Linked DNA regions of Astyanax mexicanus. The protein of the gene in region 3 interacts with the protein of the main gene of each other region in a pairwise test. Links are inferred from orthologs where the notes say so. Each region holds a gene or a part of one and is shown on either strand. Other genes may lie near its edges. The genes, in order: litaf, fam189a2 and bag3.

Region 1 (10,846 bases), on a different chromosome or scaffold from region 3:
TATTTGGGCATTATCAGAATTCTTTCTGCCCGTTAAAACCCAGCGTCTGAACACAAGACTCAAGATCAATGAATTCTACAAATGTTGTTCGCATGAATTTCATATAAAAATAAATGATTTTCTCCCACGTGTACAAACAGCTAATGATCAAACAAAACACATACACTTTAATGCCTCAGTCGTTTTCTTCAGTGTGATCAATGTATAGAAATAAAGGTCTATAAAAATAATATTTACACACCTTCCAACTCACATCCAACACCTTCATACAGAAACAAAGTGCTCAGCCACCATTAAAACACCTCTGGATTCTCTCCAGTCATTGGCTCTGCTTTATGGCGGTTTCTTAGCAGTGCAGAATCGGTATATATGTATATAAATCACATAAAAATGGAATTCACTGATTTATTAAAACGTCTTCATGATTCAGTAATTAAGAGGTAAACTAAGACATTCAGAGTGGTTTGTGAAATTAATCACTATAGAAATTAGGGGAGAGACAAAACATTAATCAATATTTGGCCATATGTCATATACTATTCCTTTTCTTTGCAATATATTAGCAATATGTGGCATCAACTATCATCAAAATATTTATTAAAACAAAGGAGGTCTTAAGTCTCTAAGTCTCGCCCCTGAGTCTTACTTACTAAAGTTACTGCTTCATTACTCCACATGGTGGCACTAATCTAATAAACAGGGTAAACCTGCGGTGAAGAATATAGGTTGTTAAACCAATGTTTGTATATACTGTGACATATATTAAGTGCTTGATTTTAAAAATGCATTAATGCATATATGCATTATTGGCATTGTCACACATTATAGGACCCACGTAGCTAAAGAAACAGGGCGATCACTTCTCTGTTTGCATCAATATAACCTACAGCACTGTCCACTGTTGGTGGTAATTCCTTAGATATGACATAATAACTGGTACACACAGTATGTTACACTGTGGATTGAGGAATGTTAAATACCTGTACAATTTCTTATTATTATCACAAAATTTAAATACATTTTCACAGCCAAAATGCATCAGTAGTGATATCTTTAAAAAACGCTGTTCAAATACCGTTACTTTCGTATACTGAGTACAGTGACTTTTATTTGAAAATAAACTGTAATTCCTCCAATTAAACTAGACTAATAATCTTTCTTTAATGAAATGTACAGCACTGGTATCTTTGATATCCTTTCATGGGTATATTGTCAATACAATAAATCACAAATATTGTCAATACAATAAATACAATCACCTGTATAATATTTAAAAAATTAGCTACTGCATCTACCTCATCTGTTTTCATTTGATACATATATATTGCTGCACTAAAAGGTAGTAATTCTCATTTGTGAAAGTTGGGTTTAATGTCACTTTGAAATAAAGTAAAAAAGTAAGCAATTATATAATTTTGTCATATTTTTCGAAGAATAACTAAACACATACTTAAATGTGGTATATCATGATATATATATATTATATATACAGCATATATAGTATTATGAACAATGATTCACACAGGCAAAAAGTTAAAAGCATCAACAAAATCAATTTCTATTATTTTCTATGATAATTTCACACTGTCCACTCTGAATGACTGTTCAGACATCAATCACTAAATTATGTAGAAATTTTAAGTTGATCAGTTGAATAAATCTCTAAAACCTAAACCCATACATCATCATAACCCTGACCTGTGATTAAATGAATTTTGTAAGATGCACATAAAAGTTACTTGATGGCATGTCAGTATTAGAATTACTCATCAAAACTCTGATTTCGGGTATTCTCACACTAGGTGGTCTGTCCTGTGTTTGAGCTTGTCTCCCCCAAAAAGTCTGGTTAGTTTAACTAGCGTAAACGCTCTGTAACAAAATTCTGTGCAATCTTGACAAGAAACGCAAAACCAAAAATGTACTTTGTGATGATGTAAGCATACTAAATCCTGGAGTGGGAGAAAAGGCAGGGATGATCATTAGGTTTAGGTACGGTACCAGTAAACCAGGCCTAGTGTGAGAACACCCTTTAAGATAATTACTGCTATTGACTATTATACAGTCATTACGCTTCCTGTGTAAAAAAAAAAAGCATGTCAGATGTGCATCTATTCTTCCCTTGTTTAAAGTGACTTAATAAATCCAGTAACAGACTGCAGTTATTCCTCCTTTTCAGTGCACACCAGAGCCAGCTCTGGCAGAAACATGAATTATTTTAAAATACTACAAACAGAAAATGTGTTTTTTTTTCTGCATTTTGGACAAATATGTGACCTTTAAACATTAAGGGAGTGATTTGAACAGATGAATAAAGGTCAGCTCTTCTATAAAAATGCAGGGAGCTCCTCAGTTTCACATTATAACAGGGTTCCACTGGACAAACACTAATAGGAAAATGTCCAAACAAGGGTGAGTTAGAAGCAGCTAGACAAATGCATGCACTGGTCATGTTTGGTGTGTGTGTGTGTGTGTACATGTGTGTGAGACAACCTGAAGCCACATCCGGTCTTAAAAGAGAAATGATCATGATCTTAAGTGCTGAAAGTCCTTGTTCTAAATACAAGGATCGACCGAATCGGACCCCTGTGGACCCTCACACAGAACATCTGCCCTGTAACAGGGGAATTAGCTGTGGCTCTCGGTACCGTTAGGGGTCAGCTTGGTCTTATGCTCGACCCGTGGGCCTCGGGCTGAGTACTGGACCATCAGAAACGGCTCCTTGGTCTCTCCCTCTCCGACGATGCTCTCCTCGTCCTCGGATTGGCCGATACGCTGCAGGCGAAGGTAGCACCAGCAGCCGAAGATCAGCGCCCCCAGAGCGGCGATGGCTATGAGGATCACGATGATGGTCACCACGCCGGTGGTGGGGCTGTGGTCCATTATAGACATGCTTGTTGTGGAGGAGAAGTCGTTCCTGGTGTTAATAAATCAATCTGGGAGGCTGGCCAGCGTGGTTTTGTTGGCCTACAGGTCTTTGGATATCTGATTCAGAAAGAAAAGAGAAACATGGAAAGGTTATAATGAGTATCAGCTTTTTCCTCAATACCAAGGGTCTTTTCACATAGTTTATTATTATTAATAGTTTATTATTCCAATATGTATTAATAAATATTATTTATTAGTAAAAAAAAAAAATTCTCATCTTATCAATAACTTTATTATTTCCCTTCTTCACCTGTCAGACCTCTTCTACTTTTCACTGCTAAAACTGAGACTTAGTCCAATCATGTTAAGCTAAAGAGCTAAAGGCTAAAGCTGTTTCCATGTGGGTCAGCCAGACGTCTTCCTGTAGCAGTTTTCTCCAGTTTCCAAGAGTCTTTTAAAGGTGTAAGAAACACTACTCATCGCTCTCTGGCTTTTACAATCTACTATATATATAAAATATATATTTACAGCGAATCAGTAATAGCCCTGACAATTTACGGTACAAGTTTGTACACTGAATTTTGTCCCATTTCCGGTTACTGACTAAACCTGGACCATTGTGAGCATGTGTGCAATACCAAACAATTCCTGAGATTTGTATACTTTTAATTTAACTTTAATTAGGTTCTAATTCAGAAATCCTTACAGCCAGGTTGAGATGATTACAGTAAAGTAAAAAAAAAAAAAGTTTACTCAATTTAATTTATCATGAATTCTCTATTCCAGCACCCTACGTTGGCTTTATCTCCATTCAAACATACAAATATATACTAGTATTTTTGTTGACACCACTAATATAAATATAATTACATTTTGCATTTCCAACATTCAGTCTTTTATTAACATTTAAATATCCACTATAAAAACTTGCATCTTAAAAACAACAAGTGTGATTAATCACAGTTAATCACAGAATACTGTTGTGATTAATCTGAAAACATTTTTTAATCGATTGACACCACTAATATATATATATAATATAGGGCTGCAACTAATGCTTATTTTGGTAGTCGACTTTACTGGCAATTATTTTTCCCATTAGTCGATTAGTCAACGAACATTTCTGCCATACCCTCCATCTCTGCTTGATGGCTGGGTATGGCTGCTGTTTCTAATTTTCTTCGTCTTCGTCTTAAATGTCTTTGCTTCAGCTAAACAAAGAATTTAAATGCCCTTCATATGTCCAGAACATTGCCCTTAAAATGTGGAAAGTGCTGATATTTAGTGAGGAAATGTGTACTCTGTTGCGTTTAGGCATGTTTAGTACTTTGTGTAGTGCTGCAAATTAACGATTAGGTCAAGGAACATTTGGTGTTGACAAATTTTTATAATCGACATTGTTGGTTATATCAACTAATCGTTGCAGCCCTAATAAAGAAGAGCTTAAAAAGAGCTCTTTGACCTGAAGAGCTTAAATAAATTAGGGGTAGTGTTGTAGTTTATGTTATATTTTTAGTTCTTATATAATAACTAAAAACAGTTTTTATGTGCCGAAATAGCAAAAACACTAACTAGCTGATATAAAGCCTGAGTTAGGCCAGAGTCAGAAATCAGAGTCAGACACACACACAGCTTCTGATCTGAGAAACAGGAACCTCCTTCTGCGCGGGATTCTCGTCAACTTTAACACCAAGAATCAGCGCAAGATTTAGAGCACACACTGCAGATTATCTGTATTACAAACATATTTAATTTATCCCTTCATAAACTCTCTATTTCTCACCATGATCCGCTGCAGCTCCGCCGCTTCATTCCCGTTACCGAGCGGATCAGTCCTCCGGACCGCCCCCCGCCATGTCCCCGGCCCTGATTAATCCAGTTTAATCCGGTTTAAAACACTAAATACAGTAAATATGGCGATAATAAAGACGAATCAGAGTTAAACCCGCTGCAGCAGCGACATCATAACACAATATATAACCCAGCAGAGCAGGAACGCTGGGAGACTGACTGTCACAGGGAAGGAAGTGAGATCACAGCTGCAAAACTGAGCTCAACCAATCAGAGCAGCGGAAACGGCAGCTGCATAGAAACGGGGCAAAGCTTTATTTACCACCAGCAGCCATCCAAATAATAAAAATAAAATACAATACATAAATAACATATACATAAGATAATACATAAGATAATAAAATGTAAAAAAAATTAATGTAAATGCTATTAAAGGGGATCGAAACCCCCTGATTTTTGCTGAGTGGGGTAGTTTGGGGGAGTCACTGGATGATGTATAGGTTTAGGGGCGGGGCATGAAGGAGAGCTGATTGGCTGAGCTGGGGGAAGAGAGATACAGAAAGAGAGAGAAAGATGGAGAGAGAGGGGAGAGAGAGAGAGAGAGAGAGAGAGAGAGAGAGAGAGAGAGAGAGATGGGGATGAAGAGGGAGAGGAAAAATCACAATGTAACCAGAAATCACCAGGTGATAAAAAATATGTTAAAGAGTAGAGCAGGGAGTTCAGGAGGAGCAAGAGCAGAAATGAGTAAGTAAAAGTCAGTGCTTTTTTTGCTAATTGTGTTGCTATTAAATAATGACTGGAATATAAAACTGTTATAAAATAACTAATCAAACATTAATGTTACAGTATTGTTAATGACTTAAAGATAAATACCAATACTTATAATAAATAATAAAATTGGTCGTACACTAGTTGTTTTGCTATTTGCTACAAACATGTGACAGACATATATTTTGGGCTAGTTTAAGTTTTTGAAGAGCGGGTTTAAGACTGACTTTGGGCTGGATTTTTTTTTTGAACCTGGCAACCCTGCACATCATCTACGCCTATAGCACAGTTAATCCATAGAGGGCGCTGCAGAGGCGGAAAATACCACAAAATGGGTTTTATTAAAGAGGCACTAAACCCCCTGATTTTTGCTGACTCCACCCTCAAAATAAGTCTAAACAATAAGAGGGGTAGTTTGGGAGGGGCACTTGATGATGTATGGGTTTGGAGGCGGGGCAGGAGGGAGAGCAGTGAAATGCAGATGGTTGAACATCAGCAGGTGGGTGGTATTATTGATTGTGTGATCTCCGTATTGTGATTTGTCTGCGTTCCAAAGTACACGGACACATCATCCTCGTCTATAGCACAGTTAAACCTAGAGAGCGCTGCAGAGGTGGAAATTTCCACACTAAAAGGGTTTTATAAAAGGGGCACTAGACACCCCTGATTTTTGCTGACTCCACCCTCAAAACAACTCAAATTTGAAAAAGTAAAAAAAATAGGAGTGGTAGTTTGTGAGGGGAAATGGGTGATGTATGGGTTAAGGATCATATTCTATGTCCTCTGAAAAATAATAACTTAGTTTCAATTTATGTAATAATGAGTAAAGTAGATGTTGTGGACTTTCATTTCTGTTACCCAAAACATAAAAATTAACAGAAGTGAGTTCCAGCAACATGAATGAGTGCCGGTAATAGGAGTGATTGTTTTGTCATAAATATCAATTATTTAAACATGCAGTCAACCATTTCTTTACAATAAAGACTTTCTCATAGAAAATCAAAGGAATTAGTGGACTTTTTTTTTTAATGTCACGTGAGTTTTGTAACAATCTTCGGCTTAGAAACCTTGTAAAAAGTTAAGTAAAGCTGCCTGAGTTTGACCAGTACATGTTTTGAATAGTTAAATATGTGTTATTAGATTCAGAGTTGAAAAAAGATAAAAAAAAAAAAGTTTTATTTGAAAGAGTTACAACAATCATGTGCCCTCAGTGCATTTATTAGAACTGTGTTTTATAAATGTATAATAATCACAACTCTAACAATCCTTACCCAATTTTTTACAAGGTTTGGTTTGTTACAAACAGCAGATGTAGCAATGATACAGGAAACTGTTATACATTACAAATAGATGCTTTCATACTAAAATATTTTGTAATATGCTGTTATGCTCTTTAACAAAAACAGACATATGGTATGGCATATAAATTGTGTATAAATTAGTTCATTTTATATTTATATGTACATACATACACATACATATACATATAAAATTAATTCATTTACACACTTGAAGTTTCACGTTCCACAGAGTTTATGTTAATAATTCACTTCTGATGTTGATCCGGGTCTTTTTCTGGTGTTTTGTTTACAGTGTGAGTGAAGGGCGGGAGCTCCTCCAGACTGAGCCCATGTGACTGAAGGCGGAACTGGAGAAACGCTGTGAAAACAGACGGAGATGAAAAACTAGAGAAATATACTTTAATTCCCTCATCTGAAGCTCTTCTACACAGCGTGAGTCTGAGACACTGCTGAGATCTTATACACTGTCTGATTACTGAGCTGATAGACGGGGGGATGAGGGGTAAAGGGGGGAGTTTGTTTTTGGGCTGAAGGCTGAAGTTGTGCTGAAAGAGGAAATATGGCGACTTTGTGATGAAACGTGTAAAAGTGGCTGAACACTTTCACTTTAATAGAGCATTTTATTCTAACTGCTATGGTTAAAATATGGTATATGTGAGATAGACTGTTAGTAAGTACAGGTGGGCAGTACCTATATGTGTATACACATATATATATATATATATATATATATATATATATATATATATATATATATATATATATATGTATACATATATACATATATATACATATATATATATATATATATATATATATATATATATATATATATATATATTGTCAATCGATTAAAAACATTATCAGATTAATCTGAACAATTCTCTGTGATTAATCACACTTGTTCTTCTTAAGACATGAGATATTTATATTAGTGGTGTCAGTTAAAATACTAGTATGTATTTGTATGTTTGAGGGGCGAAAAAAAAAAACAATTGGATGGAGGAAACTATTTTTTTTTCTTTATTGTTATCTATATGTCTGAACCCAGACCTGCTCCAGAGCATTACAATATATGTACAGGTGTATATATATTTGTATACATTTACAGGACACAAAAAATACATTACTCTTTTTTGAGATGCAGATAAAAGGCTTTAGCACTAATAGTACTACAGCAAAACAATTTGCTGAAATCCATTCTCCTATCAGAACTAAACATGGTATTTTAAAATAAAACATGTGAATGGGTGATATGCACAACATGTACACAGAAAAGCAGCAGACTGTTTATTATAGTAATAAAACTCCATCTTTACGATACATATCATGATAGTAAATGTCATATGGTGAATTTGTGATAAAACATGTGAATGTGGCTGAGCATTTGTACTGATCCTCACCCTGCTGCTGCTGCTGCTTCTTCTTTTCCTCCACAGCTCCAGGGATGGCCAGCGCTCCTCCTATGGAGATCATGGGTCCGACGGGACAGGCAGCTCCCTGCCCACCGACTTATGAAGAGTCTGTGAACGCAGGAACGCCGTTCCCCCCCGGGGCTCATATGCCCCCTCCGCCTGTCTACAGCAAGGCCCCCCAACCCCCCTACCCAGCCCAGGGCTACACCCAGATGTACTCACCTCCACCTCCTCCCACTGGACCTGGAGCTCCTGTGGGTGAGTAGGAGCATGGTGTTTCTCTAGAGTTTGGAGACTGAGCCTAATTCAATTAGGAGATACTATGTGTGTGTGTGTGTATGTGCTGCAGCATTACATCATTGCTACATCATAAATATAAATTATAAATGTTAGATGATCTACACTGTCACTAGGTTTGATGAAGAATATACTACTTGCATTACTTAAGTAAAAAAAAGGTTGAATACTTAATATTTAATTTAAATGAGAACTCTAGTGTAAAATGGACTTTTGTTGTAGTAAATCATGATGAAAAGTACTTACCTTTGATGAATAGCACACCTCCGTTCTCCCACAGCGTTCAGAGATACAGAAATTTGAACAGTTTGTCCAAACACCCTTCAGACTGGATGACACGTGGCATAATTTGCCCCGATAAATCGCTTTTTCCACAGTTATCCAGCTCAAAGTAGCTCCACACCTCCCTGCTAGAATCCGGAGAGCCCTGCCATTTAAAATGAGGCATTAATAACTTAAAAAGTACGCAAGAAGCTTATTAAAAACACTGTTCACATCCCATAACGCTAGCTTCAGCTCCGTGTGCCACCATCACTGTACTGATAATGACATAGACAAATACATAGACATAGCAGCCAGCACCAGGAGGCAGGCTATGTGGATTCCATGTATATATATATGTCTGTCATTATCAGTACATGACAGACATATATACATAGATCCCTTAATATTTGACTGTGGAGCTAAAACAACACATCAACTTCTGCTCAAGTTTCTTTTTTTCTGGAACACTTGAACTTTTACTAAACTTTTAATTCTGTCTCTCTAGTACTTTATATACACACAATTACATGCCTTATTGGATAAAGCAACTACAGTACACATGGTTGACTCTGTAACAAATTGTGCCTCTCCCTGATCTCTTCAAAGGGTTATTGTCTGCCAGTAACTAAAACCCTAAAAATAAAACCACAACCTGTGTGACAGAAAGAATGGCTGAGGTTTTACTTCCTGAAACAGAGAACTTTCACTATAATACAGAATTTCCATCTAACTGCTGTGGTTAAAAGCTGGTATATGTAAGATAAACTGTAAAAGTATAGTTGTGCAGAACGTTTTATCATATATGTATTGAACATATACACACATACATATACACTGTCTTAGTATTAAAAAAACACACCATCATGTTTATCCAATCAGAACATGTGTTTTTGTTTGTTTTTTCTTCTCAGTGACTGTGCAGACCGTATATGTGCAGCCTGGCATGGTGTTCGGGCACACTCCAGTGCAGGTCCACTGCCCTAACTGTGCCCAGACTGTAGTGACCCGTTTGGATTACTCTTCAGGCACTATGACCTGGCTGACCTGCGCAGGACTCTTCATTTTTGGGTGAGATACTATAGTGAACATCTGATAGTAAGCTAATAAAGGCAGGATTTTACACAAAATTTGTTATATACATTTAATGATATGTTTATAAGCTGATTAATGCTACTTTTTATCATCAGTTATTTAAGTATCTTGGGTGTAAAGATCAAAAATCATATCTCTCTGTGTGTATATATTCTCTAAACTGGAGTATTCTAGAATTTCTTAGTGCGCATATATATATGTATATATATATATATATATATATATACATATATATATATACACACACTCTTAACTGGAGTGTTCTAGGATTTCACAGTGCCTGTTAATATACTTTTAACTGGAGTATTTTAGGATTTCTCAGTTTGTGTGTATATATATATATATATATATATGTATGTTTGTATGTATATATACCCATAAACTGAGTATTCTAGGACTTCTCAGTGCATGTATATGTACTTCCAACTGGAGTATCCTGGAGTTTCTTAGTGCATGAATATATACTCTTAACTGGATATATATATATATATACCCTTATATATACCCTTAACCGAAGTATTCTGGGGTTTCTCAGTGCAAGTATATATATATATATATATATATATATATATATATATATATATATATATATATATATATATATATATATATATATATACTATTAACTGGAGTATTTTAGGATTTCTCAGTGTGTGTGTATATATATATATATATATATATATATATATATATATATATATATATATATATATATATATTTGTAACTGGAGTATTCTAGGATTTCTCAGGGCGTGTATATATAATCTAAACTGGAATATTCTAGGATTTGTCAGTGTGTGTATATATTCTCTTGACTGCAGTATTTTGTGGTTTCTAACTGCATGTATATACTTTTAACTATTCTCAGTGCGTGTATATATATATACCCTTAACTGGAGTATTCTGGGGTTTCTCATTGCATGTATATTTACTCTTAACCAGAGTTAAGGCCTAGAAAAGTGATTTTAAAAAATAGATAAAGGGAGCTGGATTTAGCTCAGTAATTGTTTATTCTATTTAATTCTTTACACTTATACTTCTTAGCTTAATTTA
Region 2 (10,954 bases), on a different chromosome or scaffold from region 3:
TATGTCTTTTTTTTTTTTACATTTAAGAAATGCTAATTTTAGTGTCTTCTGGTGAAAATAATTTACTGATATTTTGTATATATTGCAATGTAATGCAATAAACAACTAATGCAATGTAATTCTTTTCCAATATCCTGTTGCCCTACACAAAGGAAAAATAACATGCAGACACATAAATGCACAGCAGATTTTGATTCCACAGTTAGAGACTAAACGGACAGCTTGAGGCTAGATTAATGAGGTCTAAATTGAAGGCTCGTTGTTCATAGAGCCGGTGTGTGTGAGGTCGGTGGAGGGTCACTTCCGTCTCTAATAACCCATCACAGGGGGACAGGATAAGGAAAAGGGCTGCAAACAGAAATCCATGATAAGGAGATAAAAGTGCTGTCCTTGGACCGGCTTAGATGATACATTATCTTTATTAGCACTAATTTAAACTAACTGCATGTTTACTGATCATTGATCCTTAGAGATGGTAGCCATTTCCTGTAAAACCGGAGGAACACAAACAGTTTCCTACCAGCTTTATTTTAAACTGAGCTACAGACAGAAGTATGTATTTCTGTTACAACATGTGACTGTGTGTGTGTCAGTGAGCGTGGGTTTGTGAATCACTGACAATGAGTACAACTTCTTGCTAGTAGTTTACACCCTAACAAATAAAAATACCACAGAGCTGTTTTGAGTTGTATAATATACAATAATAGAGGAGTGCACTTCCTAAAGGAAACAGCTGAACAAGAGGAAAGAGGCATGAAAAACGACAAACAGATGTGTATGGGTCAGTGTGGATGTGGATTAGAGCTTGGGGACCTGCCCTGAAGGAGTACAAGCAGTTTGGTGGCTGCCAGACAAATGAAAATCAAAGCCTCTGAATGGAGGAGATTTGGGAGGAACAAAGGATGAAAAATTATAAATAGGTGAGTGCAGGTCAGTACAGCTGTGGATAAGAACTTGTGGACCTTTGCTGAAAGAAGACAATTCACATTTTGGGCAGTATGACTGTGGATTAGATCTTACAGATCGCACAGTTTGGTGGTTGTTGGGCAAAAAAAAACTAAGGCTTGAGTCTAAAAATGAATAGGGGTGAATTGGAGGAACAAGGGGTGAAAATAACACAATAAATAAACAATATGGGTCAAATGGACTGAATTTATTCGTGGGGTCTTGCCTTGTTTTTAAAATGGGTGGTATCAGTTGAGAATATATACTATAGATATGCTGTCGATTCTTATTTAGAATTTTGGACTAATTTCTTTATTTTGAAGCTGCAGAGCAAAACTAAATAAGTAAACATTCCACACAAAGGTCCAATCCCATTAACCCCTTTCCCTTGGAAGAGAGTAACAAGTGGAAGGGGTGAAATCTTGCCCCTAAAAATGGGACCACCCTTTTAAGTACCCAATACAAATATATAGCAGTGAAGCGCTAAAGTTCAGCAACCTAGCTGCTGGTTAACTCCTAGGCATGCATGCACAAACCAAAAGATTAAGAGTAAGTGGTAGGGCCAAGGGGTGAAATGGGATTACACTTAACATACATTATTTTTCCACTGGACTGTTTGTGGGAATTAAATTTTTCTATGTACCATCCCTTTAAGCGTGAATATCAACCAGAGTCAGAAACTGAAGCAGTGAGACACGTACCAGCAGGAGCATTGGCCGCTTCCATGTTGTGAGACCGATAATCCCCGAGAGGATGACCTGCAGAGAACAGAATCAGCTAATTCAGCAAATACGCCATGGAGCAGACAGATTAACTTTGCAATGTAGCTGCAGCAGATGCGTAAGGTATTACCATATGGCCACCAACACTTTTACATCCTGCTCTTTGTTTCTTAGCTCTGATGGTCTCATGTATTTTTGTCCATGGAAAACCCCATTTTACTCATTTCAAACCATCTAAATGCTTTTTTTTTTTACCTCAGCATCTTTGAATGCTACTTTCTGTTAATAATTTAGAGATGCTTCTCTAATATGTGGCTACACAATTCCTGGATTTCCTCAGTAATCCTTCATTATCCTCTAATTGTTTCAGTAAAAAATGATGAATAATGTATGACAAGAGTGGAAGAAAACAACTTGGGGTGAGTTCAAATTGCGTACTAATATTGAGTTTTGTGTAGGTCACTCTTGTGCCACCACAACCGATCTGACCATTCTGTCAGGCACTGACTGCACATTAGCTCTGAAGGCATCATGTGGTATCTGGCACCAACATGTTACCAGCAGCAGATCCATTAAGCTCTGTATGTTGTGAGTTTGGGCCTGAACAGATTGCATCAATGAGCTGCCCCTTAAGGTGCCCCTTAACCTGTTGCCAGTTCACAGGTTGTCCTTTTTTGGACCACATTGCAGAAAAAAACCCACAACCACCTGATGTTTAAGAGATGCTCTAAGCCCATAGTTGTCTAGCCGTCATAGTTACGCTATTGTCAAAGCGGGTCAAATCCTGATTTTTGTCCATGTTTTGTGTTTTTAACATCACCTTCAAAAATGACTGTTCACTTGCTGCATAATATGTTAAATCCCACTGAAGACCAAGATAATCAATATATTTTTTTGCTGCGGCTGTCAGTGGTTCTTATGTAATAGCTAATCGATACATAGCTACATAGTTGAGCGTAATTGATTGGCCAAGACATGTTTGGTACCTGAAGTTTGCTTCGTTAGTTTGGACTTGAACTTATGATAAGTATTACTTTTGTAAAATATAGCTATTATACATTTTTACTATAGTTAGTAGTTTAGTATAGTTTCAAAGCTTTAGCAAAAAAAAACAATTTTAGACACCAAACACATCTGATCAACCTCATCCGAGATGAGAGAAATTGTACACTACAGGCCAGTGTGTTTGTATAAGAGAAATCTTTAGCAATACATGGGCCAAAAGTTTGGACACACCTTCTCATTGTTTTTTGTGCAGATTAATATTTGGTTAATATTGAAGAAATATACTATGAAGAAATACATATGGACTTTACACACTTCAGGTAACCACTTCAAGATTGTTAGAAAAATATTCACAGTGACTTATGAAGCTGAACAAGAGAAAAAAATGACCCAGACTGTTTAAAGCTGTCATTAAAGCAAATCAGGACTGATGTGAAGAATCGAATAAAAAAATATTCTGGTTTAACACTGTTTCTATGAAAAAATATTATTTATTAAGTAGTTTCATCGTTTTCAATATGAACTGCAATGTAGAAAATAAAAGGAAAAAACATCAAATGAGAAGGTGTTTGTCTAAATATGTCAGTACTTAAGGAAACAATACTACAACACACCAAAAACTATAAACACTGACTCGCTACTGTATCACCACATTATAAACACATCACAGGTCATCCGCTCATCTCAGTGTTTGTATTTGAGATAAATATGGCCAAAGCTTGAGGTCACTGAAAGTAATTGCAGGTAACAGAATTGTGGTCATATACTGTTCATTATATCCTTGCTGGGGGTAAAATGGTTTGTCAGATTAGGTCTTCAGTACACTTTTTTTGTTTGGGTTTGATGGTTTATCTGGTTCTATAAGAAGGACCAACCTGACCAACAAGACCAAGCTGGACTAACATGACCAAACTCAAAAGCAACATAGACAATACTGGGAGTAGTTAGTCAACAAGCTGGGTTATAACTTTTCTATCTGTGACCAAAATTGAAGTTCACATAAACATAATGTGGCTTTGAAGCAGTATACCAAATCCATCATTTTTTTTATTTGGTAACCAGCTATTCAAGCACATTGCCCCTGAAAGACCATCAAAACCAGCTACTAGCAAAAGCTGGTATTGGGGTGGATTTTTCAGCAGGGAAATCCTATTAACTCAATCAAACACTAATTAATTAGCTAATCAAGTATAAGCTAAAGCTTACCTGTGGTGTTCACAACAACAGCTTTACACTACCACTACTATAAATCATACTCAAAAACAACCAAAGAAAACTGGAACATGCAGGTAAACCTATATAATGTAAACATGACAGACTGAAAATCTTATAGGAAGCAGCTTGTTTACATTTTTTATAAACACGACGGAACACAAAGCAAACACTGCAGGACACGTATTTAATAACTAAAAATGAAGCTAAATCTCAGACACTGAGGTACTCACTGAAGATCCTGCCCAAAACGGGCACGAATTCCGGATGGGAGGCGAGTTACTGAGGGACAGAGCCCCAAAGGACAGCGCTACCATGGAGCAGCCGAGGACCAGCTGCAGCAGCCCGAGCGAGAGCAGCGGTCGAGCGGGCAGCAGCGCGGGGGAGAGCCGCGCCTGGGAGCCGGACATTCGCCACCGAGCGGCGGCCGAGCAGCAGCGGCTGCGGCCTCTGGAAGACGGCGAGGGCTCTCCGAAGTGAGGGGCTAGAGAAGCCCGGGCTAAGCGACAGCAGGAACCGGGCAGGACTACCGGCAGAGACATTGGAGAAGAGCGGCCAGGAGAGGAGCAGCAGTGACCGGGGAGCGGAGGCGGCTCGGGTCCCTCATTTTACTCCGAATGGGTTCAGCTGAAACCGGCGGGAGGAGCTGCTGGATCCCCTCAGCGCTCCGTCCATGATCCTCTCGAGGTGGAGAGAAAGAAACAGAGAACACGAGGGTCTAAAATAACTCCTGGCGCCCGGATTGCGTTTCACATAGTTGGCAAAGAGACAAGAGAAGAAGAGGAGGAGGAGGAGGAGGAGGAGTGTGTGGGAATAGACCACCCTGCACTGAGAGAGAGAGAGAGAGAGAGAGAGAGAGAGAGAACAAGAGTGTGTGAGAGAAATATAGGGAGAAAAAGAAAGAAAGCGAGAGAACAAGAGAAAAGGAGAGAGAATTGGAGAGATAACAAAAGAGAAAAAGAGAAAGAATAAGAGAGACAGAAAGCGAGATAACAAGAAAAAAGATTAAAGGAGAAAAAGAGAGATGTGTATGACAGAGAAAAAAAGAACAAGAGAAAGAAAGAGAGAAAGAACAAGAGAGAACAAGAGTGTGAATGGGAGAAAGAGAAAGAAAGCAAGAGAACAAAAGGAAAAGAGAACAGGAGAAAAAAAGAAAGAACAAGAGAAAGAGTGTGTGACAAAGAGAACAAGAGAAAAGGAGAGAGAAAAAGAGAAAAAAGAAAAAAGAGAGTGTGTGTGTGAGAGCAAAAGAGAAAGAACAAGAGAGTACAAGAGTGTGTGAGGGAGAAAGAGAAAGAAAGCAAGAGAACAAGAAAAAGAGAATGAGAGAACAAGAGTGTGTGAAAACAAGAGGGAGAAAAAAAGGAAATGAGAAAAACAGTAGAAAAAGAGAAAGAACAGGACTAAAGGGAAAGAACAAGAGTTAGAAAAAAGAAGATAGAGAACAAGTGACTGTGACAGAGAGAGATAGAGAACAAGAGAGAGAAAGAAAAAGAGGGAGAACAAGAGAGAAAGAAAAAAGAAAGGGAGAGAGTGGGAGTGAAGAAAGATGATTTTGCTGATTCTTTTTTATTTAAACCAAACAGCAGTCATGCTCTCATCTTAGAGTGCATTATAATAAATCAATCATTTCTTAAAATAAGATGACCACAAACAGATTTTAATAAATCAAACCAATAAAAAAAGCAAAGCTCCTTCTCCTTCACACTGCCTTGTCCCAGCACCACACAGACGTGAAAGCTTCTAAAATCATGCTGAAGGTTAAAAGCTTCTAAATCATGCCACAGATTTAAAAGCTTTTAAACATATGCTACATACTTAAAGGTGTCTTACCATGCCGCTTATTTAAAAGCTTCTAGATCATCGAATCATCAAATAGCCATTAAAAGCTACTTAAAAATGCCCTTAAAAGTAATTTCCTGTAAAAGAATCAAAATGAAAAAAAAATAATAGAACGAATCCCCATTCAAATTAATTGAATCGCCATTTAAAAGGATCGCACATAGACTGTATATAAAGATGGACGCCGTGTCGCCGTTCCCATTCATTCAATGAAAATGAAGCCAAAATCTTCCGCCATTTTGGCGATTCAGAGACCAGAGTCTGCGCAGTAGAGACCAGAGGAGGGAGAAAGGCTGTGGAGAGACCGCCTACTCTTTTAAATAACCCCGCCCCTGAGGGCTGCCTCGCGGTCACAGACTGCAGAGCGGGACGGAGCGGAGCTGACGGTCTGTTATTGGTCCCGTCCATAAGCAGCCCTTTTACCATAACCACACCTTTTTTTAATAGAGCCGAATAAAGTTTTAAAAACCGAATTCTGTGGGGATATAAAAATTTGACAATATAAGCAGAGGTTACACTAGCTGTTGCATTTAAATAATGGAGGTAGAATTACAGTATATTAGAAAAAAACGTGATTGAAAGTTGTCTGTTTTGCCATTGAAACCTATGGGGATGGGTGGAGTTACACAGCTTTCTGCAGCCGAACAGCAGGGGGCGCCCGACCTGTGGTGGCTTCACTTTTAAGAGACGATGCTCTGTCCAGCTATATACAGTCTATGGTATGGAGCGAATTAATAGTTTGGTTTAATGTTTATATTTTCTGTAGAAACTGGAAATATATGTTACGTTTTCTTTGCTTTTTTAAACAAAATACTTCATTCTACTTTCTAGAATTAGAGGAATATCCTGGAAAAGTATTTAGTTATATTTTTTAATTTAAGTTTTAGCTGTTTATCTCCATTGACCCCCATTCATTAAGGACTCACTAGTGGGCTCCATCTAGCGGTTTGAGCTCATTTTATGACAGTAACGGCAGGAATACCAGTAAGTGGCGGTCTCTCCATGAACCGGTGTTTTGTCGGGTTAAGATACCCATCGATACGTGCTTCCTAAGGCACTGCGCATGCGCTGACCTACACTTTTTGATGATTTAAACACTTTAAAAACAAAATTGTTTTGTTTTGTTTTAATAATAAATCTGTTATAACATGGACTCACTGTCATTACAAAAAAGTGTAAATGAAAATTAATAAGAATAAAAAAATACAATAATTAGTATAAAAAATACAAAAGCATTTTGTAATGTCCTCTCGTTGCCAAGGTACAGTAATTTATGCTTTCCAAATATACTAGCTAGCTACATCTACTGGGACTCTTACTGGAAACATGCTCTACTATGGTGTTTTTACAGTTAAATAAACACTAGGGCAGCACGGTTTGACAAGATAGCACAAATTGACGGAACACCGGCTCTGGTACAGTAGGATACCTGTTGCTAGAGCAACAGCGCGGCTTCCCTCATCCAGTTAAGCTGTAGGCTAACAAGCTAAGCTAAGCTAAGCTAAATTAGCTGCCTTGGCTCACAGAGAGGGGAAAAGTTATTGAACGGAGTTATTTTGCTAGTTAGCGAGGTTAGCTAAGCTAATTTAGTAAGTATGCATTTTGTTCGGCGCCCGGCAAATTAACGACTCGCCCAGCTCCGCTTTTCCATATTTACTATTTCGCCCGCTGTTTATTTTATCAGTGTTGAAGAGTGAACAATCACAGAATGCAGCCCGACTCTGCGAACAATGTTTACCGGTCAGAGTGAGAAGCGCCTCCGCCCGGAGGTCGAGCCCCGCCGTGAGAGAGCTGTGAGGGACCCGCTTCAGCCAGCTCTTCCCCCAGGTGAGTTCAACTCTAATATTCCCGCTGTTAGTCCGCATAAAGGCGGCAGGAAAACCCTTAAGGCTGTAAAAGTTTATCGTAGTTTGGTAGTAAGCTAGTATGTTAGCGATAGCGACAGTTAACTAGCTAGGTTAGTTAACTAGTTGGTTAAGCAGGCCAGACTTTACTAATCTAAGTCTAACAGTTCCTTAATCTTTTTTTAGGTTGTTTGGAAGAAGGCATGCCAGAAAGACCCAATATCAGCCTGGATGTTCTGAGGTATGAATAATTAATATTTGGGAGAGATCTGTCTATCAATTCACTCATTCACCTGTTCACCTATCCATTCAATTATCAATCTTTCCATCTCTCTGCCTGTCCCTCTATTCCATTCTCTATCCATCCACCTGTCTTTTTTGTCAGTCCATCCATCCACCCATTGATCTGTCTTTTTCTCTCCCTACCTGTCTCTCTGTTCGTCCGTCTGTCAATCCATCCCTCCATCCTTCCACCCACCTCCTTTTGGTCTGTCTGTCTTTTTTACCTTTTAAATCCATTTTGCTATGCCCACTAACTTGACAATCCTGGTGATGCCTCTGTTTCCAAGAAAAAGGTGGGTTGAAAAATAGTGATGTAAAAAACACTTTTTGTTCTAAACAAACTAATCACACTCTTCAAAGTGAGGAACTGGAGAAACAAACCAGGGAGACACAAAAGCTTCAAGAAGAAGTTGAACAAGCCACCAGACTGACTATGCAGAGGATGGGTCGGACATCTTTCAACACGGACTTGCCAGTAAACTACAGTTCAGCAACAAGTGAGAATATTACACTTTTTGATAATAGCCTGTTATCTGTATACTTTGAAGTCTACATGAAACTCAGTTACATGATTTTGGCTTCTGTCTTGCAGGTAGATCATCAGAAGCATCATCAGAACGTGGCATTTACAGACAACCGTGCGTCCTTCGACCTACTGCCGATCATTTGGATGTGAACACCGCAGGATGTTTGAACTTCCCAGGGAAAGATGTTCTTGAGCAGGCTGTAGAGGAGTACTCTCAGCAGGTCTCTGACCTTCAAAGGCAGATCAGAGAGGTCTGTATCTGGAGCAAGTTAGCAGCCTTTTTGAAGTGATATTTGTGTTTCATACTAGGGCTGCAGTGCACAGTCCACATAAAAATCAATGACATTCACAAATCTACAGATTGCAGTTGCAGTCATATTGCTTATGAAAACATTAATAATGACTGGTGGATTTGACAATATTTTATTATTATTGTTTTAATGCATTATTTTATGGCTTTTTCTGAGTAGCGATTCGACACTGAACAGGGTATTTCATTAAAAAGCTTAAATACTTGTTATAATACTTTAATTTAATGTAATTAGTGCCTTAGGGTATATTATATGTTTAATATTAATTAATACACTATTAGTTATATATATTATGTACAGTTTGTGCTATTGGTGTTATTTTGTATATTTTCTGTGTTATGGCTTTTTAAATGTCTGAGGGAAAAACATTGTATTATGTATGGTGCAACATAAAACTTGTGATTAGTATTTTTGCTATATCGATTAAAAATTAGGTCTATCAGGTGATTTGACCTTATACAGTGTCTTAATATTCCCTGTTAATTTCTTTCAGACATATGAGCTGCATGACCAGCAGAAGTATCATTACCGCCACACCATCATCCAGCTACAAACCAAACTGCACGAGAACCAGATTGAAAAAGATGCACTGGAAGACTTAAGGTAAGAGAAATCTAAACATAACCCTTGTGATCTAATTATGACTGAAGTGCAGTACGTCTGTACATTTTCTCCTTACAGAGAGAAGGAATCTACGAAGCAATTTGAGCTAACAGGACAGTTACAGGAGACTCTTCAGGAGTTGCACAAAGTCAAGCAGAAGCTGATGGAAGCTGAGGACAGAGCAGAGTGTTTTAGAAGACAAGCAGAGACCATGGAGCAGATGCTGCATGACGTGTTCATCAGACTCTCACAGTATGAGAAGCGCAGTGGAAAAAGGAGCTATCTCTGCTGTGACGGCCCCTTCAATCCTGACAAGCTTCCGCTAGGACCAGTCCTGGAGAAAGCACTACAACATATTGAAAATGAGAACTGTGGTCTCCAGGAGAAACTGCAGTCGGTATGTCACTTATGTCTAAATGCTTTTATATGTTAGAAATGTTACTTTGATAATATTTGATAATTGTGATAATTGTAAAATTGTCGATTATATTTTTGTATGTTTGGTCACATATGTAACAGTGAACAGTATTTTATTCAGCTAAGTGAACAAAACTGTAATTCTTAAAAAAATGAAAATTATTTATTAGGGAAAGTAAAGGGCTACCTTTATTTAGAGTTAGCTTAGATTTCCAGATTTTCAGTAAGTAGCAGCATTAGCATTAATGCAGCCAGACAGTGCTACATTGAGGAACCCTAAGTGTTCGTCCCACGTAGCACGTAACGTGGTAAATAAGCAGACTGCAGTCTGATATACTCATCTCTCTGAACGGTGAAAGAGCTAGCGCTTAGTGCGGTTAGCGGGTAATGCTAATACTGCTCAAGCAGTGCTAGCCGGGGTTAGCAGCAGTCTACAGGACGATAATACTCACTTTGGAACTGCAAAATAACTAGCGCTAGCACTTAGCGCAGATAGCGGGTAGCTCCAGCAGTGCTAGCCGAGGTTAGCAACCGATAATACTCGCCTCTGAATGACAAAAGAACTAACGCTACTAATGCTAATACAGCTCCAGTCTCTGTGCTGGAGAACTAAACTGGAACTCCTGTATAACTCTTCTGCACTTCAGCACAGTGGCTTAACTGTTCTGACTGTTAAAATTTATACATAAGGCATTTTGGATCATAAGGCGCACTGTCGATTCTAAAAAAAAATATATAGGATTTTAATTGCTTTGTTATGCTATTATCGCAATATTTTTGCAACTATGCATTGTCCACAAAAAATGCTAATAGGACAGGCCTTTGGTGAATTAAAAGACAAGGTGATGTTAGCCATTTTTATGAGGTATGCTAATGCAAGTGTTTTCAACTATGAGTGGATGAAAATATTTCCATAAATGGAGGGAAATAAACCTGTGTTTTTTGTTTTATATATTTTCATATGTGTGACTAATGGCATCACTTTAAACTGAATTGTTGCAAATGTAAGTATCACCTGACTGGCAGTTAATTATTATTATTTTTTTGGGCAGCTGGAGAGGCAGTTGGAAGACATTAATAAAGAGGCGTCTGAGAGAACAGAATCTCTTCTGGAGGAGCAGAAAGTGAAGTATGCATATAAACAACTAAACAATACACATTTACTATATAGCTTTAATAACGTTATATATAATGATTTGAGATTATTGATATGATTGTCAGTTATTTGTACAATTAAATATGTAT
Region 3 (11,224 bases):
TTATAATTCAACAGAATTCCACACAACTGCATAGTATTTTTGACCTCCACAAATTGGTCTGACCTAGATGCGCGATCTGCTTACTGTCTTGCACGCTTTTAGGGGCTGGGGGCTTCCGAGTGGCCCAGTTGGTCCGGATTTGCCGTCCACCCAACCACTGACCGCCCATGTGCACTATCGCATTCTCCGCATCCTAGAAATGAATAAACATTAAAAGGGGGGGGGGAAGAAAAAATAATTACTTTCTAGCACATCAACAAAAACAAAGCCAACCAAATTCACTGGATATAAAGCTAGTCTTTCAATTTCCTTTCCTTCAATGTAGTAATGAGGTTGTACCTTGGAAAGCCTTGGTAATAGAATAAAACTAAAAACCTCAATGAACCAAACAGACAGGCTGAACTTTTGATTAGTTCTTGCTATGGTAATTAAATTAAAACAACTTCCATTTACATCTAAATAGAATTAAAAGTCATAAAAATGTAATAGTAAACAGAAATAGAAATAACCTTCACTTTGTGTTCCTGAGCTGGAGCCTTACCAGTTTGTTATAGAAGGACACAAATCCATACCCCTTTGATTTCCCTGTTGTCATATCCTTCACCACACGAGCATCCCTGAAAGAACACGGTAAACCATAATAGTCAGTTTACTTATATCCTGGCAGCACTGTAAAGTAAAGAAAAAACACACACACAAACATTACTGTAAAACATTTTACAGTAACCTAAATGATTCATTGAAGTCATTACACTAGCAGTTCTCTACATCTTTTAACTATTAATGAGCTATCAAAAATATATATACACACACATGTTCATGCAACCTACACTACTGTCAGTTTTTAAAAGCTCTTGCTTAATCCTGGTTTTCACTGCATACTGATCCTAGTGTTACATACTAGGTCTTACACTTTCATACCACTAAGAATAAATATACTTAAAAAAAAAACACAAAAATAAATCAATTTGTTTACCATGCATTCCTAATTTCTGCTGTTGTCTCTAATCCTACCAGCAGAGATATATAGAAATATCAAAAGAGAAAAAAAGGAATTAAACGGCATACATGGCCTGTTAACAGATTTCTTTATTTTTCCTGGTCAATTCTTTACCACCATTGTGGAGTTTGGGAAGCTGCAAATTTTGAAAAATTGACATTTTCAGAATTTTAAGAAAATCAAACTATCAACAAAACTAGGCAAACCATAATGAAACATGAAACATTTTACAAGACGTTTTGAAGGACTGTTAAAAACTACTCTACTTCAGGGTTAATATAAAAATACTGCAGTACAAGTATGAAAAGTAAAGAGTGAATAGAAAAAAATCTACATCTGAGTTCCCAGTGTGCACAGTTCCTTGCTGTTAGCCTTCAAGCTCCTGTCCAATCCTATGAGCATTTCTGTAAAATAACCAGAGTGCTATTAACTGACACTCACAGCTAGGGGGGAAAAAAAGAATCTGAAAGATTCAGATTTACATTGACAATTTTAAATTCCATATATTGAACTGATTTAAAATGAAAAAAAATTAAATCCACTCACCATTTCTTCAAACAGGAATGTTTAATGATCCAGATATTCTATTCTAGGACACACCTTGCTTCTGGCACTAACCACGTTTTACTAAAAAACCCGTGTTTTATGACTAAATGTGTCATATCTATGTGAAATATTTACTTAGAATCAATATTTCCTTTGCTGTGTTTGTAACTATCTGTCCTGATTAATAGACAGTGTTATCCTAGGTCATGGTATTTCATACATCACAACTACACATTAATGCAAAAACATTTCCTTGTTTCCATCAAATATCCACTCATACAAACCTCTCTAGCTGTTTATTATTCAAAGAAAAGAACAAATCATCATTTGCAGAAAAACATAACATCTGCAAACTTACGAAATTTTCCCAAAGGGGGCAAATGCAGCTCTGATATCGTCAGTGGTGATCTCAGGACTCAAATCTCCAACAAAAACATGGAAATGATCTGGAAGGAGGAGGAAAAACATATTAATTGCAAGAACTTTTTAAAAGGTTAAATACAGAATCAAATAGGGACCCTTTGTTGCTGTATGTGAAATATATAATTAGTACAAAAACATTGTTTATACAAAGTGTTTAAAAAGAAACAAATCTTACTGGATGTGTCTTTCTTCTGACTGCTTGGAGTTGTTGCCCAATTTACTTTGACTTCCTGCACATAAAAAAATCGTTTTTAAGGTTAAACAGAAGAGTTTTCATATAAAGCAAATCACTAAGAGGGAAAAAACATCTTAAACAATTGACATGGCAAAACAAAGTACCTTTCCAAGAATCTTTCTTCCGTTCATTGCGGCTAGGGCAGCTGCGGCATCCCTGTGTTCAAAGAACTCCACAAAGCAATATGGGTCATTGCTTGTGTGCTGCAGAAAAGAAGGTCCAACAGAGTGTCACTGTTCTGACATTACAAAATAGCATGATTAGCACAATAGGACTTGAAAAAAGCAAAACATTTTCTTAGACTTCATTTAACAGGCAAAGACTTTGTAGGAAACCTAAACTTTAGTTAAAAATGAGTCTTTCAATCAGGGCTATATCCCATTCTTACCTCTGTTATCATTTTACAACTTTTACAGGGGCCAATCTGGGTGAACAACTGGAGTATCAAGTTCTCTGTGACATCCCTAGAGAGGTTCCCCACGTAACTGAAAAACAGAAAACACAGACATCCAGCATATCACAATGCTCAGAATGAGAAGTGAGAATAAAGCTTATTAGTTTAATCAATTCAGCAAAAATCTCAATGAAGCTTGCCTTTATGGCAAACCATTTTTAAATCTCTGTAATGCACTTTTTTACTAGTGGAAGCTCATTTCAGAGATCAGCTGTGATTTTGTATTAGTAAAATCAGATCTATAAAGACATTCTTACTATTCATTTTACCAGGAAGACATACCCTAGATCAAAGTATGACTACTCATACAAGTCATATCCAATCATTTAATTTATCAAAAGCCTTATCTATATGTGCACTTCTATAACAGAAATCTATAATTATTTTCTCCACTGGTAGATACTGTAATTTCAGATATCTATAATGTAATTCTGACAAATTCTATATTTGTACAACTTGAAAAGTTAATTATGGACCAGGTCTTTTTTTTATAGAGATGTGTAAATAACTGAAATTATTCTGGTATCCTGGTGAAAAAAAGTAATTCTAGATGTCTGTAATTGGAGTGTTTACTTGTAAAAATGCTAGAACGTTGATAATGTCATAGATCAGGTAAATATTTTACTAATATCTGAAATGTGAGTTTCTACTGGAAAACAAAAACGTAAATTACAGTTTTTTTTCTCAACAGCAGATTTCTTCACCTTACAACAAACCACACTAAAATGCAAAAAATGAACGTTAAAAAAGTCCAGTATATTTAAGCGAAATACAAAGAGCTTTTAAATCTCTTTATTTTTATTGGTAAAAACTGTCAGTTCGCTGGTGTCAGAAACGGCTTGCCACATTGCCCTTATTGTTCCAGATGAGCGAAAATGACAAAGGAAAGAAAGGCTAGCGTGTCTCTTTCTTTATTAAGCTAGCTAGCTAACTAGTTTGCCACCAATAACGTTACTCTTAAGAAGAAAACTTTTCTGAAAAAGCTAATAAATAACAGTGCCACGCCAAAAGGCAGAAAAATATAGGATAAAAACCCGATGTTAGTAAACCTAAGGCTAGCTGTCTGACAGTCACATTGTTTTCCGTTTAAAAATGCCGGAGAGGGCATTTCTGTAGCTTACAGACGGGCTGCCAACAGTTGTAGCCGTTTCTATAAATAGATCAGAACACTAAAACAATGACAACAAATAACAGAACAAAGTTGGCATTTCGTCGGGAAAATGTCTAGAAGAACAATAACCGTTCGTGTAAAGGGTGCACGGCACTGTAGTCTGTTATTAGGCCTCTGAAATCCAGCAGTGAGCGGCTGTGTGTCAGACAATAGCTAACGTTAAACAAGCGGCTACTGCTAGGCAGCTAAAGCTAGCTAGCTACTTTAGCTATCCCTTTGAAATTATTTGCTAAGCTAAGTTAAATTACTAGTCTATTTCATTGGATACGAGTCCATAATAAATTATAAAATTCTGCTTGTGGAGTTGGTTAATTATGTAACGGTAGACATGTAGCTATGACACCACATACAGCCCTTTATATAACTCAATTTTGTTTCACATAGCTACTCATATAACGTTAACTTACTTTAACTTGGACGGCTAACGGCGGCTAGCTAGCTGCTAGCCCCGCTCACAAGCTAACTATCTATGCAGCTAACGCTAGCTACTTATATTACCCATAGATAAACTGGCTAAGCTAGCTAGCAACCGTTGTTAGCTAGCAAGCAACGAGCTAGCAAACAGAGGTGAGCAGCAGTTCACACATCAGGCAGACAACACAACTCACTGACAACTCTGCACACTATGATTTTCACAGAGTTTAAACAGTTCTAGCCCTGTCCCTGAGCGCACATCTCTGTCTGAGAGGAGAAAAAAGACCCCAGAACAGGTTACGCTCCCGTTAAGTGAACGACTGTGGTTTAGAACACTCCAGTCTAAACGTATAGACAACTATCCCGCTCTAAAGTACTCACAGGGTTTTTGGGTGGCAGTCGTCTTCCATTCTCGGATGTCGTGCTAAGTCTTCGTGTAACCTCTCAACGGCTCCTGTGCCCTGTTATTTTGGTTAAAAGAACGCCAGACCGATTTAAGCTAGTTACTTTCTTTATTGTGTAGAAAATGGCGAAACCCGGCCAGCTAGGAATCCAGCCAACGCGCATGCGCGCAGCATCACGGGGTTGAGCACTGTTGAGCGAGTGCGAGCGCGTTCAAGCCCACAATAGCAAGTAGAGCGTAGCCTCAACACAGCGCAGTATGTGTGTAGACATATATACAGTTTGGGGGGGGGAACACCTAAAAATTATGATTTGTTTTTAATTTAATTGAATTTTTGCTTGAATTTTTGCTCCAGGAGTGGCATAAAGTTATCCTAAAGCATTTTGTAAGATTAGTGGAGAAGAACTTGACAAGATGCATGAAAACTGTGATTAAAACGGATGATTATTTCACCAAATATTCTGAACTCTTAAAACTTAATTAATAAGAACTTTATTATTGCATTATTTGAGGTTTGTAAGTTTTGCATCTTTTTGTTATTTCAGCCATTTCTCATTTTCTGCAAATAAATGCTCTAAATGACAATATTTTTATTTGGAATTTGAGAGAAATATTGTTAGTAGTTTATAGAATAAAACAACAATGCTCATTTTACTCAAACAGAGACCTATAAATAGCAAAATCAGAGAAACTGATTTAAAAAATAAGTTTTCTCTCATTTTTTCCAGAGCTCTATGTGTTTGTGTATGAGGCTTCACAGTAAGATATCCTAATGGAACCAGCAAAAATGTTTTTGTTTTTCTATTATTTTTTTTTATTATTTAATTAGTATGGTTAGGGTGCTTATATATATATATATATATATATATATATATATATATATATATATATATATATATATATATATATATATATATATATACACACACAAAAACAGAAAACAGAAAAATATATAAAAATATATATTCAGCTATAGGGAATGATTCTCCAGTATGTAGCCATGTGCCACTAGTACCAATATTTGATATGCAGAAAATTACAAAGTTTTGGATATATGTGTAAACTAATTGTGCAACAATAAACATTTACAACTATTACTACAACTACTCTAGGCATAGGTCATTGTGTGGGCTATGTGATGAAAATTAAAATGGTAATAATTTGCTTAAGGACATCTATTAGTGATTGTATTTTGAAGTGATTTTATTCCAAATTCCTCTTCTCTTGCTCTATAATTTAATTTTCAGTGGTCATTGCAGATGAGTTTGAGCATAGGAAAATGTATTAATGCAAATCAATAACTTCTTAATGCAAAATGTCTCTAATCATTCCCACGTAGCATTATACAAATATGCAGATTCCTGCACCCTTTTTAGAACATGTGGGGAACTTGATTTACTGAGAGATTAATCCCACATTGGCTTGCTTTAATGTAGTCTATGATCAGGAATTACATGCTAGTTGAAACTAATAAAATACCTCAGCAAATGCATAAGAACATGGAACATAGTCTCATTTTTCTGATGTCCAACACATTTAGTGATTTCCCTAGATTTGACAATTAACATTATGTACATAGCATATGTACACCTCTACTTTACCTCAAGTACATGGTTTGTGTACTTTGTCCACCATGTTGAAAACAGACGGATTGTATCAGATCAGTGTGGAAAAAGGGATGTTACGGGCAATCATTAAACTGGACTAACTTTCCAGGACAGGAAAAGATGACCCCTGCACTGAACAAACATGGTGGCAGTATAGTTCATGCTGTACTGCTGCACTTTTTTCATACACAGTATATCAACCTGTTAACCATAAAATGACCAGAATGATAAGTGTATCATGCTGCCTGTCATTTTTTTGCATTGTAGGCTTGATATAGCTGTGGTGTGGTCTGAATAATTGCTATTAGTCACTTGCTGTTAGTCAGTTGCTTGCATTTGATATACCAGGATTATAGGCAAAAGTTGACACTGTATGTTCTAGAAATGTCTAGAAAATCTAATCTTAATTTTGATAGCATAAGACTCTAAATGCTGAGGAGTGCCCTTCTGTCCTTCCCGTATGTTTTTTTGTCCCTGCCCTTCAAACATCTTTTGTTTCTATACATCTCAAAATATTTTAATATTTTAAATTTTCACATAAGGTTCTATTTTCTTTAGATTCTTCAGCATTGTCTCTAAATTATTTAATATTAAGGATTTTTTGTCATTCAAAATTATTTAATAATATTCTAATCAAATATTATTATTTTTTTTTACATAAGCAGAAGCTTATAGACGTATCCATTCTAAAGGGGTAGGTCAAGCCTCCAAGACTCAGCTGTGTTCAGCCCACTAGAACTTTCTCAGCAGCCCACCAGCTGCTTCGAGAAACCCACCCCCAGTCAGCCGTACGTCATCACATCGGTCCTTTAAAGGATCCGTGTGCGCTGTCATGGCACAATATTCAAGAGCGAGACTACAGCAGAGCATGAAAACACTGTCTCCTGTGGAAGCGATGGCTACGAATGACCCCCTGCCGCCAGGATGGGAGATCAAGATTGACCCTCAGACCGGCTGGCCGTTCTTTGTGGATCACAACAACCGCGTAACGACGTGGAACGACCCGAGACATGACTCTAAGAAGGTAGGATCTGCGGAGAGAGCCGTCGTGGCGCAGTCGCAGAACTGCCATGGAAGAAGTTGCGCTCTCACGTCCCTGTCGCTTCTCTGCTTTGCTTTTTTGCGGAGTGTCAAATAATGTGGCTGACAGGTGGTCTCCGGTGGGCTGGAGGGGGGGAGGCTTTGGTCTTTAGCTAGCTGTTTATTTGCTATTTGCTCTAGTGGACTGGTGGTGGACGTAGGCGTGAATAGTTTTTTAGCATAACTTTGTGTGGGTGATCTGATTTAACTGGCTACATTATTATAGACTGCGTTGATGTCTACATTCCGCTACATACATTATAATAAAAAAGCCTATAGAGAGACTTTTAAATAGCCAGTGGAGATACGTCGTATAGGCTGCTGGAGATACTTCTAAAGGTTCTGAGCTGAGCGGAATTATTAGTTGATTATTACCTTGGTTAGTTGGCTAGTTGAATGACATCAGGCCACATTCCTGAAATAGCGCCTCATATATTCTTTGTAGCTACCAGCTATCACGCTGTGTATAATATTTTAGTGTTATGATCTAAGCCGGCCAGCCTGCTTTTAGTGCGTGTGACGCACTGCAGTTGCATGTAGCCAAGCCTTAAGACTCGGAGTGTTTCAGAGTCTCCATAATGGTTATTTTTAAAGAGGCTGAAGCTCCACACACACACACACGCACAAACACACGCGCACACACACACTGCGTTTGTTCGGGAATATCGCCGCTGGAACTGCGCGCTATCATGTCTGTCCTCTAAAGTTTCCCTTACATGGGATTTGAGACGGATCCACCCTCTCTCTGAGCGCGTCGGTGATGACCAATGAATGGGTCGATACTTGGAAAGGCAGAATCATGGTGATTCAGTTGTTCAATTTCGTCAAAAAAAATTAAATAAAAGGAGAAAAGTCCTACTTTACTTTACTTCACATTATAAGCTGGAAATTCTTCTAAGCTGTTAGGTTGAATCACTCACTATAGGGTGCAGACTGTAGGGCTCGCCAGTTGGTATCTCTCATTAGAAAGATCAACACGTTGCTGTTGGCCAAAGTTAGTGTCACCAAGAATCTGCTGGAAAGACACAGCTGCCAGGAGATAAAATGAGCACAAGGCCGTCTCGGTGTCCACACGTCCATGCCAAAAAGGCAGAGGACACAAGGTCATTCACCTACTTCATTCACTTTAAAGCATTTTCTTTCTTCAGTTTTCTCACCAAACTACATGCTATACTATATACAACTACTTGTAAATGTATCCTAATTTTAGGTTAAACCAAAGCTAAACCAAATATAAGCCTTATTGTGTGGACCGACCAGGTTTAAAGACCTGACCACCTCCACCACCAGCACCACCACAATATCAAAATTTTTGTTTTGATTGCTGTCCCTCCCTGTGTGGGATGAGAGATTGTCTGGGGCCCATACCTCTGATTCACACTGATGAGTAAGGGAGGCCTTTTCTTTCTCATCATAGATCTGCTTAGTGACGCCCACCCCCTCACAAAGTGTATTTTAAGCTCCAGTGTCAACTAAACAGCAACCCATTCAACATACACACATGCACACACATACGCACACATAGAAACACATAACATGAGTCATGTAATATATGTACAGTAGCCTGTATAACTTCTGTATAGCTGTTGAACAGCCTATAGTTGCATGTAAAATGATTTATACTGTGAATGTGCTCTTTGCTCAGCCCTCACCCCATTGTTAAAACAGATTACTGTACATAAGTTGAGTTTAGCTCTAAATTTGTTGACCACACTGGGAAATTTCATACTTGATTTATACCACACTACTTTCACATGGCTTTACTTTAGCACAATTTGCAAAGATCATAAAGCACACTGTAACCATAAATATTTACAACTTTACAACAACCCGAAACTGAAATTAAAAGGCTAACAGCTTGTAAGACATAACACTGCACCATAAATCTTAGAAACTTTAATGCAATACTTACTTAAATTAAATTATTGCAATTTACAATTTACTCCACCTCTGTTCTTCGATAGTATGTCCTTAAATAATAGTTTGAATCATGGAAAATCAATGGAATATTCTGCCTGTGATGAAACGATACTTGTTTTCCTTACGGTCATCAGCGAGGTGATACTTTTGACATTGTGTGTAGGTATTTCACAACATCTAATTATCCTGCACATACCAACGGAGCACTCTCACATCTTACAGGAAAAAACAGGCTTGTGCTTATTATTTATGCTTGTTTTTTACATTTAATTTTGGACAGTCAGCCTGTTTTGTAATTAAATTATAGTCAAACATTTTATCATCTCTCTTCTCATACATTAAAATGCAAAGTTCATTAATAATAAAGGATAAAGTAGGGCCAAGAAAAAAAATGAAAACAGTGAAGAAAGCATTAGAGTGTAGAGTCTTCTATGGATTAAAGCAGCAGTATATTTGTCATAGTGTACAGGATTTCAAAAATATGAAAATTTATAGTATTCTATATAGTGGGTCAGTTTTGTTAATACAGTGATTAGAGTGACTAAATGTTATTTTGGTATTGTGACACACCACCAAAGGGGAACAGGCATATCTTTTCAGGGTAAAATTTATTTGATCTGACTTCAGATTTAAATTTGTTAAATACGAAAAACAATGAGGGATGACTTTTTTACTCAATGATTAAAATTGCTTGTTGATTTGTAAGAGATATTCTGCTAAAGACCCATCAGCCCCGTAAAGGTTCTGCTTTAGCCTACTGTTACTGCTACTGCTGCGAATAATACGCAATAAAATGTATACTTTTATACCATTTGTCAGTAGGGGTTTACCTTAAAATAATTTAAACCAGCTTTACACCTAGTTTAGTGCTTCATTGATTTGTAACAGTGGGCACAGCATCTATATTGCTGCTACTCTGGGTTAAACAAGCTGCTGCTAAGCTAACTTAGGCAGGCAGCAAAACATTGGCGAAAAGTGTAATATTTGTGTTAATACTCACTGTAATATTACTCTACCTTCTAAGCCCTCATGTTTCTTCTTTAACGGTTCTGTATGCTTTTAAAGTACAGGAATGCCTGTTAGATTATTGAAGGGTGTCTCAAAATGCAAATTGCACATCCCGACTGTAGGTGGAGCCCAGGAGTAAGAAATACCAGTGCTCACAGAATGCTGATTTAAAATGGCCATAAAATGCAGCTTTTAAAGCGCAATATATAGGTTGTCTCGTAAAGATAACGCAACAGATGGCATAATTTCTATATTTCTGCGGAATTTGTGGTTAAGATATGTAAAATCTAAAGAAATATTAGATTTGAAATATATTAGAATATTAATATTAGAAATATTGGCTTTGATGTTGACATGAATACATTGAATTGTTTTATTGCTACTGTCAAGCAGAACATTTTTTTGACACAATGTAAATCAAATGTTACTTTTTCCACAATAGAAATGCTACAGAAATGTAAAAAAAAAAATTCTTTGTTTATTTCTGTTAAAAGATTTGTTCCTTCTTCTGTAAAGTTTCCATTTTTGGAGACACATTTGTTGTGTGACCATAACGATTTATATTTTCGATATTATGTAAAAACGCTTTATATAGGGTCAGTTTTGCTTTCACAAAAACTCTGCCATGAATCAAAATATTGTGGCGTCTGTGTGTGTTTGTGTGTGCCAGCTTGTAGTGTGCCTGTGGGGGCGGGTCATGGTAATCCGGGGCCAGCGGGGCATTATGGGGGTATGTTTTGGGTGGGTTAAGGGGACCTACCATCTCTGTGCTGGATAGCTGGGTTGGTGGCGTCAGGGTTGTTTGTGCTGTGTTGGCTATTGGGTTTCGCTCTCCTAGCCTTGTTAAAGGCTATAAGGGAGTGGCAAGCCCGTTAATAAACAGCTGTTGAGTACTTGCAATGAGTCTCATGAGTCCTCCTTCTTCTTCCACACCACAATATTTTTTTTTCATAAGTCAGTATT

What was found.
Region 1: the proteins of bag3 (region 3) and litaf interact in binary tests that used the Homo sapiens proteins (3 or more experiments, as listed by UniProt). The two-hybrid records come from large-scale screens. The link is inferred for Astyanax mexicanus from reciprocal best matches to the Homo sapiens genes BAG3 and LITAF.
Region 2: the proteins of bag3 (region 3) and fam189a2 interact in a two-hybrid assay, tested with the Homo sapiens proteins (2 studies listed by BioGRID and IntAct). The link is inferred for Astyanax mexicanus from reciprocal best matches to the Homo sapiens genes BAG3 and ENTREP1.

What each region holds. Positions count from the first base shown.
Region 1 is NC_064410.1:58,135,968-58,146,813, forward strand, and holds the start of litaf (lipopolysaccharide-induced tumor necrosis factor-alpha factor homolog), read left to right. Parts: upstream 1-5,277; 5' UTR 5,278-5,400; intron 5,401-7,017; 5' UTR 7,018-7,157; intron 7,158-8,164; 5' UTR 8,165-8,172; coding exon 8,173-8,398; intron 8,399-9,612; coding exon 9,613-9,769; intron 9,770-10,846. Other genes in the region: snn (stannin), read right to left, coding at 2,626-2,889.
Region 2 is NC_064429.1:24,060,743-24,071,696, reverse strand, and holds the start of fam189a2 (protein FAM189A2), read right to left. Parts: upstream 4,708-10,954; 5' UTR 4,427-4,707; coding exon 4,118-4,426; intron 1,704-4,117; coding exon 1,647-1,703; intron 1-1,646. Other genes in the region: coiled-coil domain-containing protein 158, read left to right, coding at 7,457-7,553, 7,757-7,811, 8,213-8,349, 8,445-8,629, 9,183-9,292, 9,371-9,689, 10,762-10,838. UniProt on the Homo sapiens protein: Functions as an activator of the E3 ubiquitin protein ligase ITCH in the ubiquitination of the CXCL12-activated CXCR4 receptor. Thereby, triggers CXCR4 endocytosis and desensitization, negatively regulating the CXCL12/CXCR4 signaling pathway.
Region 3 is NC_064414.1:37,722,627-37,733,850, reverse strand, and holds the start of bag3 (BAG family molecular chaperone regulator 3), read left to right. Parts: upstream 1-7,062; 5' UTR 7,063-7,085; coding exon 7,086-7,277; intron 7,278-11,224. Other genes in the region: tial1 (nucleolysin TIAR), read right to left, coding at 64-193, 542-617, 1,905-1,992, 2,145-2,199, 2,309-2,407, 2,593-2,689, 4,625-4,653. UniProt on the Homo sapiens protein: Co-chaperone and adapter protein that connects different classes of molecular chaperones including heat shock proteins 70 (HSP70s), e.g. HSPA1A/HSP70 or HSPA8/HSC70, and small heat shock proteins (sHSPs), e.g. HSPB8.